Linked DNA regions of Oryzias latipes. The main gene of each other region encodes a partner of the protein of the gene in region 2 in a complex. Links are inferred from orthologs where the notes say so. Each region holds a gene or a part of one and is shown on either strand. Other genes may lie near its edges.

Evidence for each region.
Region 1: cnot10 (region 2) and CCR4-NOT transcription complex subunit 6 share a complex: the UniProt entries of both Homo sapiens proteins name them as parts of the CCR4-NOT complex. The link is inferred for Oryzias latipes from reciprocal best matches to the Homo sapiens genes CNOT10 and CNOT6.
Region 3: cnot10 (region 2) and cnot9 share a complex: the UniProt entries of both Homo sapiens proteins name them as parts of the CCR4-NOT complex. The link is inferred for Oryzias latipes from reciprocal best matches to the Homo sapiens genes CNOT10 and CNOT9.

Annotation. Positions count from the first base shown.
Region 1 is NC_019868.2:16,555,818-16,559,467, reverse strand, and holds part of CCR4-NOT transcription complex subunit 6, read right to left. Parts: intron 3,584-3,650; coding exon 3,381-3,583; intron 3,288-3,380; coding exon 3,072-3,287; 3' UTR 1-3,071. UniProt on the Homo sapiens protein: Poly(A) nuclease with 3'-5' RNase activity.
Region 2 is NC_019874.2:7,749,928-7,753,577, reverse strand, and holds part of cnot10 (CCR4-NOT transcription complex subunit 10), read right to left. Parts: intron 3,152-3,650; coding exon 3,068-3,151; intron 2,991-3,067; coding exon 2,907-2,990; intron 2,591-2,906; coding exon 2,473-2,590; intron 2,300-2,472; coding exon 2,150-2,299; intron 1,976-2,149; coding exon 1,773-1,975; intron 1-1,772. UniProt on the Homo sapiens protein: Component of the CCR4-NOT complex which is one of the major cellular mRNA deadenylases and is linked to various cellular processes including bulk mRNA degradation, miRNA-mediated repression, translational repression during translational initiation and general transcription regulation.
Region 3 is NC_019879.2:16,425,424-16,429,664, forward strand, and holds the start of cnot9 (CCR4-NOT transcription complex subunit 9), read right to left. Parts: upstream 2,878-4,241; 5' UTR 2,518-2,877; coding exon 2,500-2,517; intron 2,028-2,499; coding exon 1,842-2,027; intron 1,698-1,841; coding exon 1,582-1,697; intron 1,155-1,581; coding exon 1,045-1,154; intron 918-1,044; coding exon 808-917; intron 616-807; coding exon 517-615; intron 1-516. Other genes in the region: usp37 (ubiquitin carboxyl-terminal hydrolase 37), read left to right, coding at 3,996-4,169. UniProt on the Homo sapiens protein: Component of the CCR4-NOT complex which is one of the major cellular mRNA deadenylases and is linked to various cellular processes including bulk mRNA degradation, miRNA-mediated repression, translational repression during translational initiation and general transcription regulation.

The DNA.
Region 1 (3,650 bases), on a different chromosome or scaffold from region 2:
CTAGGGAAACGCACTAAAACCTTCTGTTCAGGAGGACCAACCCATCAAGACTACATGATCTCCAGAGATGTAGATTCGGCGCCAAGTGTGTGTTTGTGTGTGGGGTAGGGGTGTGTTAAAAACGATGCGTCAAAGAATTCATGATTTGCACATCAACAACACAATCCAACATCTTTTAGAAAGGAAACATGAGATACATCTTTTATTCACACTTTACAAAAAAAGCTACCCCTTTAAATCTACTACAATACTAATGCCATTCAAGAAACAAAATGTCAAAATTGAACACATTGGTTACCGCTGGGGTGCGCCGGGGGGGGGGGGGGGGGGGGGGGGGGGGGCAATTAAAACAACATAATAAAGGAAGTTAGAGAGGGGCCAATTGATTATTTTTCCTGTAGATTTGCTTCTTTCCTGCATTAAAAATGCAACAGAATTCATTTTTAGTGGTTAATATGGGAGGAATGAGGAAAGCCGTTTCTGAATTTGATAAGTGCTCATCATCCACATGAGCGTTCAAACGATTACGCTGCTGCTCACAGACTTCACTTGGATTTTCAGAATAAGACAAACTGGATTTGCAGCGACGTGTTGACAGGAAAGCTCACTGACCCTCACCCTTTTTTCTTTTTAAAGTTTTCCCCCCACAAAGAGTAAAGGAAAAGTGGGCCTTTCCACCTTTTACCAACACAGAGGTAGGGGGCTCCACAAATGGCACTATAGCTGCAGTGACAAGAGTAGAAAACCTATACAAAGTGGTTGGGTGGGGGGCGTTACAAAGACGATGGGTGGTTTGGTGGGTGGGACGCGTGGCCAGGAAGGAAGCCGGGGGCTGGGATGGGGGTGGGGGGTGGGAGCAGTGCTTTAGGTACAAAGAGGGAGCACAGCAATCAAAGGGGGAGTTTAGAAGACGCCCCCACGACTCATGTTCCTTACAGAGAGGGTCAGTGGACAAAGCATACCTGATTATTAGAGAGGTCAATGGACAGAGTTTATGTGTGTATATATATATATATATATATATATATATATTCATATATGTATATATAACATTGTCACGTCTCATAAAAAAGGAAACATTAACAAAAAAAAAAGAAAGGACAAAATCTTCACAAATGTCTCAACAGTATTTAAAAATAAGAGAAAAGGTTGTTGAGGCGTTCGCCGCTTATAAATAGTGCAAGACAAAGTCAACTGCTACAGCGAGGCACGATGTACATTGGTGGAGGGGGGGGGGGGGGGGGGGGGGGCTGGGTGTATATCGACCACTTAAATGATGAAGAGATGGTACTCGTCCTCGGATGTCACTTTGACCAAACTACTGGCGACGAGGCGAAAAGACAAAGAAATGGCGTCGTTAATGGATAAGAAGCAACAGGCAGAATTTCCTTGCTGCCCATTTTACATCATAGCAAAGAGTCGGCGAATCAAACAAGGGTCAAAAGAGAGGGGTGGGGGATGGGGGGGGGACTGAAGTTACAGTCAATGTTTAGGGAGTGCAAAGTAGTGGCAGCGAATGCCTGCAACAACCTCTTCTTACGTCTTTTGTACAAGCTGGTAATATCAATTCATCTCAACATCAACTGGATAAAAATTTAGCCTTAGTTTACAATACAATCTTTTTTTTCTTTTTCAAATTTGACCATAATTTACTCTTTGTACAAAAAACGCCAGAAAACAGGTCTTTTGTGGTTCATATACAATCATGTAAAGACTGAGTCTAGGTTTCTATTCTGTACAAAGACTTGTGGAAAAAAAAAAAGGAAACCAAGAACCCACTGCTTCTGTGAACGGAACGCATGGCTGGGGGGGGGAGAAAAGTCACTACAGGCCTTGGAGACAGTGCTACAGAATCTGCCCGTGAGAGATCTTGGTGTATGCGAGTGCATGTACGCTTGCATGTTTGGAGTAGGACGGCAACTCCCGACAGTGAGAAGGATGCTGGTTTTACTCCGGTGTGTCCATCTCTGCCTAAAAAGCAATCACAACCCATAAAGGGCGTGATGGCTCCCCGATGGACCAGCCAATCAGCCGAATCCCTTGCTCCTTCCAGGAAATAAAAAAAAAAAAAAAAAGGCGATACACAGGCCACATAAGCTCCTAGCACAAGAATAACCTAACAACTACACAAGCAGGGGGTGAAATAGTCTGCAGAACAGATAGCAGCTGCGCTCAGTTTCTCCCATCTTTCTTTAAAGCTACATGGCGTCGGTGAAATCGGACAAATGTAAGCTAAGGGTTCTGGTTCTCCGGGCTTCTTGTGGGGTTAATGTGCCGGGGCTGGGAGGCATAGACTGTCTTGTAGCACCACAAGAGGCCATGACCTCATAAAAGGCCTCAGCACCACAGCACGACAGCAGGAAAAAAAAAACCCCAACACACGCACACACACACAAAAGCGAGCTGCATCACTCCAGAGAAACCCCTCGAAAAGCTGCTCTAAAACCCCAAACACAAGAACGTTGTTTCCGTGTCCCCCCCCCGAGAGGGGTGCACCATGGACCCGAAGGACAAGAAGAAGCCAGCGGTGCAGGTCTGAAAGGGATGGGTCTGCTGTCTTTGCTGGTTTTAGGTTTATACAGAACAGACAGACCGGCAGACCTTCAGCTCTCAAGCTTTTCACTTAAAATGTCCTTTTTTTTTCAGCAACATTAACCTTTCCTCTAACTCCAAAACATCACAGCACAACATATGAGAGGAAGCCGAAAGAGCCACCATCCTCTGCAGTCTGAGACAGAAGCAAAGCAGGTGGGAGGGGCGGGGGTGGATTTGACAAGGAGGGGGAGTCCAATACACAAAATATGATACACAAACAGGGCTGAATCAAGCAGTTAAAAAAGAACATAAAAAGAAAAACAAAGAAAAATATAGAGTATCTATACGAAATCCCTGTCAGCCAGACCTCACTGTACGAATATTTTACAGGTTTTTTGTATGTGTGTGTGTGTGTGTGGATTTGTGTAGGTGTCTTTCTCCTCCAGCGTGCTGGAGGGAAGAGCTGGTACAGGGAGGGAGCAGAACTGAGAGGGAGGTGTGGTTGCAGCTCCCCCTAGTGGTATGGCAGGGTCTAACTACCTGCGCGCAGGCAGGTGAAGCCCATTGACCTGGGAGGGTATGTTGGGCAGGAGCAACTCCAGTTGAGCAAAGAGGGAGAAGTGGTCGGAGGGGATGTGGGGGTGGGGGCAGCCGGTGACATTGTTTTCTACAAGCCAGTGGGGATCCAGCGGTCCCAGGATTCCCAGCACGTTCAGGTGAGGCTTGGAGTAGAAAATGTAGTCGATGACACCCTAAGGGGGAGGTACATTAAATTAGTATATACATTTGCACCATTTTTGAAAGGCGTTTAAAGCTTTTTTTCCCCCTGCAGCTTCAGGTGTTACCTTAAAGTCAAAGGTGTAGTTGGTATAAGGCATCAGGCCATTCTCATAGGCGCTCTTCAGCTTGAAGCCGTGGGTGATCCTGCCATTCGACGTGCTGTTCTTGCCGTTGCAGTTAAATTTGGTCAGGCAGTCACTATAACGGAGCTCTTTGAAGTCCTTATGGGTGCAGTCCACTCCACCAGTACTCAGGTATTCCACTACACCTAGAGTAGGGGTAAAAAAAATAGATTCAGTCAAAGCCTGGGCTTCTCCGTTTCCAGTACCACACAG
Region 2 (3,650 bases):
CTTAATTTTTGGCAAAAACGACATTATCATAAATAAAAGTCCACTGGGAACACTTTGAAGACAGATCGGAAGAGGATTGGAGTGGGACTTTAAGCTTGAAGAGTCTTGGTTCAGTGGGCAAGGGGCCTCATTTATAAAACTTTGCGTAGGATTTGCGTCAGAAGTGGCGTACGGATGAAACATAGGACGTGCGTACGCACAGAAATATTCGGATTTATAAAGCCGTGCGCACGCACATCCTACGCATCTTTCCCTTTATAAATCACAACCAATTCTAAATGCAGCGCAGCTTTTGCGGCTTCATGACACGCCCATAGTTGCCCATAAATAGTCCGTGAAACGCCCACAAATGAATATTCATTGATTGCAAAACCATGGCACACACCGAGAAATCAAAAAAACGCAACTTCACTCAATGTGAAGTAGAAGTTATCGTTGGCGAGGTGGAAAAGAGGAGGAAAATGTTGTTTGGAGGGCACAGTGTGGGCATTACTAATGCCAAAAAGGCACGTGAGTGGCAGACGGCGGCAGACGCCGAAAATGCTGTAGCCTCACAACCTCGGACCGTGGCCGAAATAAAAAAGAAATGAAAGAAATGGTCGGACATCAAACGAGGCAAAAAAACGTGTGTCTGCCACGGGTGGGGGACACCGTAGCTGACCCCTCTTGATGAGAGACTGGCGGCTATTATTGGGGAATCCCTTTTAAGTGGAGTGGTGACTGAGGCGGAGGGGGACACGACGCGCCAGATGCACCGGGTGACACACCGACGCACCAGATGCACCGGGTGACACACCCCCAAAAGCCCGCAGAGGTCCAACAGGACGGCTCGAGGAAGTCGGAACCGGCTCATAAGCCACTCGTCCTCGTTTGCCAGCAAGTCTTCTTGCTGTCTAAAGATGCGTTCACTCCGAATTCTTCCATTTGCCACATCTGTATCTTCTTGATGGGGCATTTTATTTCCATCCATTTAATTACATCTGACAAGCTACAGATGTCGGTAATAATCGACGTGGAAATGGGAAATTGTTCAGCGCAAATGTAATTTATTGTTGCTTTCTGAATGGTTGAGACATACGCCATACATGGTTTTATCAAAAATAAAACAAACTAAAGGCATATGCATGAATACCATAATTCTGTAGCTTATGAAGAAATGTTTTAATATGAAAACAACTTTCCCCAGTGGACAATTAATACGTCTGTCTGTCTAATTGCACCTATATCTGCTCCGCCAGACGGACACATTGACGGGAATATCAGTTTTGTACATTATTTCGTTCTGTTAACTATATTATTTATGAGGATGAATTGCACAACATGCCAATATTGTAGAACATATTTCACTTTTCTTTTTGCAAATAAGTGTTCATTTGAATTTCTGTTGTAATTTTCGTTTGATTTTTTTTATTTGTTTCACTGCTGATCGGTCCAACGGGTGTTCGTGTAGCTGTTAATTGTAAGACTTGCTTTGTGAAGTCTTCATGTTATTTCTGAGAGGCAGTATTGTCATTTTCACTTTCACGTGTTTCTTCCATCTGCCGACGGCGTCGCCGTTTCTCCTTTCACCCGTATTTGTGCGTACGCCTGGGTCAGAGCTTGCGTGAAGGACCGCACATTTTCCCGTCAAGTTTGCTTTTTATAAATATCAATTATTGCGTAGAGAGTGGCGTACGCTTTCTTTTGTGCGTACGCAACGTTTTTAAATGAGGCCCCAGATCTCCATGCGTTTGTTTATACAACATGACAGAGGAAAGCTGAGACGGACATACCCCTTTGTTGGCAGAGATGCAGCACTCAGCGAGGCGCAGCCACAGCCGGGGGTTGGAGTGGTACACCTGCACGGCCTCCATCAGACACTCGAAGGCTGCCAGCGGCCGGCCGATGTGCAGCAGCTGGATGCCACAGTTGTACAGCAGCTCGTAGCGCTTGTTGGCCAGCAGGGCGCACATGGGCATTCCTGTGAAGCTCTTTGCTTAAAGCCAGAAAGAAAACGGTGGTTATTGATGTGGCACTTCACGATGACTCTGAAAGATGCTGGGGAGAACGTGAGCAAGTGAAAAAGACCAACACTTGGACCTGGATGGTCTGCTCTGCACACGAGGACCCGCCCTCTAGAGTCAGACGAGGGCCGGGACGCTGTGCTTACCCTGGCTGCTGCTGCCGTCTCCCAGCTGAGCGCACGTGTGATCGTTCTCCTGCAGAGCCTTCTTGAAGTAAAAAATGCCCAGGTTGTGCTTCCCCATGGCAAAGTGAATGCAGCCCAGGTTATTCCAGAACATACAGCGAACACATTCACCTGGACGACGGGGAACACGGTCAGAGGAGGCAGCAGAAGCAAAGTCATTCATGACAGATGCTTTCTGATTGAATGACCACTAACTTTATTGATCCGTTTACAAAGCTTGAGTCGTAAATCCTTCACAAACATGCAGGTGATACTTATTCAGATGTTCCAGCAGAGGACCTGACCTGTCTTCATGGGTCCTGGATGCTCGGCGATGTTGCAGCTGTTCAGCAGCTTCACAGCTTTGCGGTAGTTTCCTCTCAGGTACTCAAAGTTGCTCTTCAGGAAAAGGGAGGGTGCAGACTGCAGGAGGAAAAAAAGCACCACAGTAACGACATGACCACAGTTCAGCCTGTGAGCACCAAAACTGAAATAAGCAAGGACATGTCCTCTCCAGGGTCACTGGTGAAGCATCCAGCAGCACGATTTCTATCAAAAAAAAGGTTTCTAAGTAGAAATCCAGTCATGAAAAAGATGGGAGGCAGATATAAACAAAGCTAAACTGAATACAAAGACCTGGAATCTCATGATTTTGACTGTACAGAATGGAGCTAAACAGGAGACTCAGGGTTCTCTGGACAGAGGAAGGCTGTGTGCATGGAGCCCACTGGAAACTCACATTTCCGGCTGTGTTCATCACCGATTTGATTTCTCTCTTACAGGCCTTGGAAGACTTCATCTGGATGTAGGCTCTGACCTTGTACTAGAGGGAGGAGACAGAGAGTGAGGGTTCTGGAGCAAGGCAGCAGAGTGAAGGGAGAGGACCCAGAGAGCTCTGACCTGGTGGAGTTTGTATTTTGCTGCTTCAATCATGGCTGCAAACTCCGCCCTCTGGCTGCCAGCGTCCTTATGTGAAGTGGCGCTCTACAAGCACACACACATAACAGTAATGCTTCCATCATATACACAGTGGACAGAGGAACAGGACTCTCGTGGTCGGTCCCTTCATTCCGTTTCTAACCCACAGGAAGGAGGCAGGTCGACAGTGACGCGTCAGCTGCTGCCATGCATTTCCTAAAACAGCGAGCAGCAAGAGAGGCAGCTTTAAAAGAGTAAAAAAACTGCAGCCTGTCATGAAGAGGCCCAGAGAGCAGCCGCACGAGCCGTCACTGCAGCCTGAAACCGGCTGGAGTGAGGAAAAGAAAACTGCAGAGAAACTAACTCCAGTACTTCACAGACTACAAGTGGCTCTGGACTGCAAGTCTAACTTTTGGTAGACTTTTGAAGAGCTCTGTAGTCACAGCCGCTCCATGACATCGTTCACAGATTCTCCCAGGACGGTGAGCTTCACCGTCTGCTGCAGGAGCTGCGTCTGAATGGTGCTTCCGTCTCTTCAGACTCAGTTTAAAAAACAGTTTTTTTA
Region 3 (4,241 bases), on a different chromosome or scaffold from region 2:
CTAAAAAAAAAAAAAAAAAAAAAAAAAAAAAAAAAAAAAAAAATCCTCGAGCTGTCCTGTTGGACCTCTGCGGGCTTTTGGGGGTATGTCACCCGGTGCATCTGGCGCGTCGGTGTTCCCCCTGCGCCTCAGTCACCACACCACTTAAAAGGGATTCCCCAATTATTACCGCCAGTCTCTCATCAAGAGAGGTCAGCTCAGGCTGTCATTGCCAACAAAGGGTTTTCCACCAAATATTAGTAATGACCATTTTGTTTTCAGTTATTTAATTTGTCCAATTACTTAGGAGCCCAAGAAATGAAGGGATTGTGTTTAAAAAATGCTTTAGTTTTTCACATTTTTATACAATCTTTTTGTTCAACCAAGGCTGAAAGTCTGCACTTCAATGGCATCTGAGTTGATCTGAGAGACACGTTAGAAAAAACGTGTCTCTGTCCAAATATTTATGGTCTTGACTGTACATCTTTATCACAACAATGCTATAGGTGCACAACACAAAAATCCTAAAATACTTACAAGAATCATGGCGACATGGGAAAAACGTTCATAAGTCTGACATATGTAAGCCAACCCAGTGTCATCCAGCAGGATCTTTTGCAGTATGAAAGTAGCAACCTGATAAAAAAAAAAGAATTATAGTCAATGGTAGAAACATGAGTTAAATTCATACCATAGATAAATGCATGAGAGTAGGTTTTAGAAAACCAAAACCCAAATCTGTTAACACATATTTTGAATGTTTGACTCCAAAATCCATTTTTTTCTTCCTGCTTGATAAAAACTGCTTTTGATTTCATTGGTAATTACCGTCTTGGAGAGTTCACTTCCAGATTCCATGATGCGAAGACAGAGTGGGATGATTTCCGTAGTAAGAAGGAAGTTTATCACTTCTTGTTCATCGGTTTTCACCAATGCACCTGTCAAGAACACACAAACAAATCAAGATCTGACATAAACAGAATTATCAGAGCAATACCTAAAAGAGAAGACTTTTTAAATTAAAAGTAAAATCAACAAAAACATGATCTCAGCAGGAGAAATTACCTATGACTCCTAGACTGGTAAGTCGCAGGTACTCAAATGGACGCGTTTTACTCACAGTGTGCAGAAAAGGGTAAAGGAAAAGAGGAATATGGGCAGCTAGAAATGCTGACCTGGTGTGGACAAAACAAATAAAATCATATTAATCAATGTAACACATTAAACCTTGCAAATGGAAATAAGTTCGTTTTTTTTTTTAAATTATAGTGAATTGAGGAATTACATAACAAAACCTTAATATTAAACAATTTATTTAGACCATGGCCTTAATAAAAATGAAAATACTATATTTATTATCTTTTAACCGCTTTAAACTGAAGATCTGCAAAGGCTAAATGCTGGAAAAATCCACTATTCTGTATGATGTATGTATTAAAAGTGACTGATGACTGTTACTTTTTAAACAAATAATAAACAAATAAATAAAACAGATTGTGGTCTGTTACCCCTTTAAAACATTATAAGAGCAGTTAATTATTAGAATTACTAAAAATAAAAAATAAAAATCTGATTTTTCAGTAACAATAACTATCTTGTTACCGTGTCTCTGGATGTGAGGCAACACACTGCAAAAGTGCCAGGGCATTACACACTCTATTTGACTGGTGGGCTGTAAGGGTTGGTGGGTTAATAGACGGATAGATGTTTACTATTTCCTGAAAAAAAAAAAAAGGAGGACAATTTAATTAACAAAAGGAGTTGTTTAACACCACTACAAAAATAAAGACCATACAAGAGGCACAGATGCACAAACAGTCCCAATGGGATGACCTGTGTCAAATGAACAGGTGGACCAATACCTGCAACAGGGCAGCAATGGTGCCACATGAATGCCAGAGCATTGGGGCCAAGTCTGGCACGGATTCTCGCTTCTTGCTGAGCTCCAGCAAAGCATTCTCTCTAGTCTCTGGACTGGACAACTCATTGATCCACTGGTAAATCTTCTCACGGTCTACTTGGGCCAGGGCTGTGACGTTGGTTACAGCCTTTGATAGGAAGAAAATATCAATCCATTCGCAATCAATTCTTTAAACAAGCAAACAAACGAAACACTCAAGAACAAAAACATTACGCTAATTAAGATATATGTAACCTACGTTTAATTTCCCCCTTCTGCAAACCCAAATCATGAAGAGGAAATGACAGCGTGTAAATTTGTTAAATGTCTGCTATGACAAATTGGGGCAAAATCAAATTATTTGTCAATTTAACTACAAAAACGTCTCATGATTTGCCAACTGCAATACATGTATACCAAAACCATACTGTACTACATTTGTACGAGGCTTTCATTAATATTATGCAGTCTTTCTTTGAAAACTGCAAAGAGAAGTTCTGCTTTAAAATTAATTCAATAAAGAAAGCTGAAATTTGGGAGGAAAAAAAAGATTTTCGATGTACTTAGGCGAAATTGGAGGGAACGTCACCGTGAGAGCGATGCAATAGTTTGATACTCACCGCTCCCGTTGCCAACATTTTGGAAAGCTTTTCGGGATCTCAAAATACTCTTTTAATAGAAAGTTCGTCAGTTTGCACCTCTTCGCAATACTCGACCCTGAAATCTCACCGTAAGAACCATGGACATATGCTTACGAACTGCTAGCTTAGCTAGTTGCTAGGTGCTCTAACAAATGGGATCCACAACATGCGTAACTTCACATAACTTCAATCGAAATCCCAACACTGAGAACTACAGAAGCACAAAAAGAAATTATTGTCGTTATAGTATCAATAAACCAAGTTTACACTGGCATTTTTTTCAATCTCGCGTTTGATTTTTTTTCCTCGGCAGGGACAACTTCGCTACAAACAACGTCTCAGATATCGCGAGAGGAGAACGGAGCGCAATCTCGTTCATCATTTCCGTTGTAAATGTTCCCATTCCCGCCATCATCGCCCGTTGCTGTGAGGCGTAGTGTGCTGCTCTACTTGCAGCAAACATACAGAACAGCAGGTGAATGCCGGCAAAACCTTTTTTATGCTCTCGAAGGATCTGCGAAGTCAAGTCCACATTCTATAGGTTTGGAACCACCACCGTGATCCTAGACAGGTAATGAAATGACGATGGCACTGAATGTGGTTGTTTTCATCACCAAATTACTGTGTTAGCTAGCTCCCGCTAGCTTAGGAACCAGTGTTGCTAATGTGGGCCTCTTCCATCATATTAAGCGTCTGTTAAAGAAACAAAAACGCCACTGCATGCTTCACATTTAATATTAGATTCATGTTATTCGACTAGTTCGTTGATAGACTGATATTTTTGTTTATATCGTTTGAATCTATGGTTCTGGCCGCGCCACGAGCATCACAACGCAGCTCAAAATGTGTTGCTTCTCCTCTGCAACATTGGAGTTGTCAGTGTTTGTTGTTTAAATGCAGGCTCTACACAAACATGTTTAAAACTAAAATTCAATGACCGTTCAGGATATGCAGTTTGTTATATTTTGTGATTTTTGTGGTGCAGTAATTCATATTGTACTGTTATGCTAACTTGTCACTTTGGATTATGAAGTCCTACCTTTTTCCTTTACTTCAAACCGCATTTGCCATGTTGGCTACGTATCTACATATCTCATATTAGTTTTGTTTCTGTATCTTTTATTTATTTATTATTATAATTTTGAATAACACATTTCAAGTTTTTAGCAAATGTTATTGTTGGCTACAAATTAAATCACTTATAATCTTCAGAATGGCACGTCGGTGCTGCATGTTCTGTAAAAAAAACAATATAGCAAACTAGTTACAAAAATACTAACTTCTTGTTATGTGGCATTTAGCAATGGTAAAAATATTCATTTAAACTGTTTATTTGGTTAAATAGCAATAGCAGTCATAAAAGTGAGGTTGTTTTTGCCATTATAGGCTACCCGTGTGACTATTTCTTGACATGTTTATTTCTTTTGTACATCTTAAATTCAGACCTAACAAGTGGACCATCAGGATAGCAAGCCATGTCAACTTTTGTGCCCAAACTCTCCAGTGGTAGCACTGTCAAGATTCGCTTTAACACCATTGAGCTGGGCGGCACCAAGTGGAAAGAGGGAACCTTTGAAATTTTGGAAAAGGATAACAGAGTTAATCTCTGTTTAAGGTTCAGCTGTGGTGGCGCTGCCAAAACTTTCCAGGTAATTTCTCTTTAATGTATTTTATCTGTATGCTTGTTGGTGTTGTGACAGATATTTAGCATTAGGCATGAT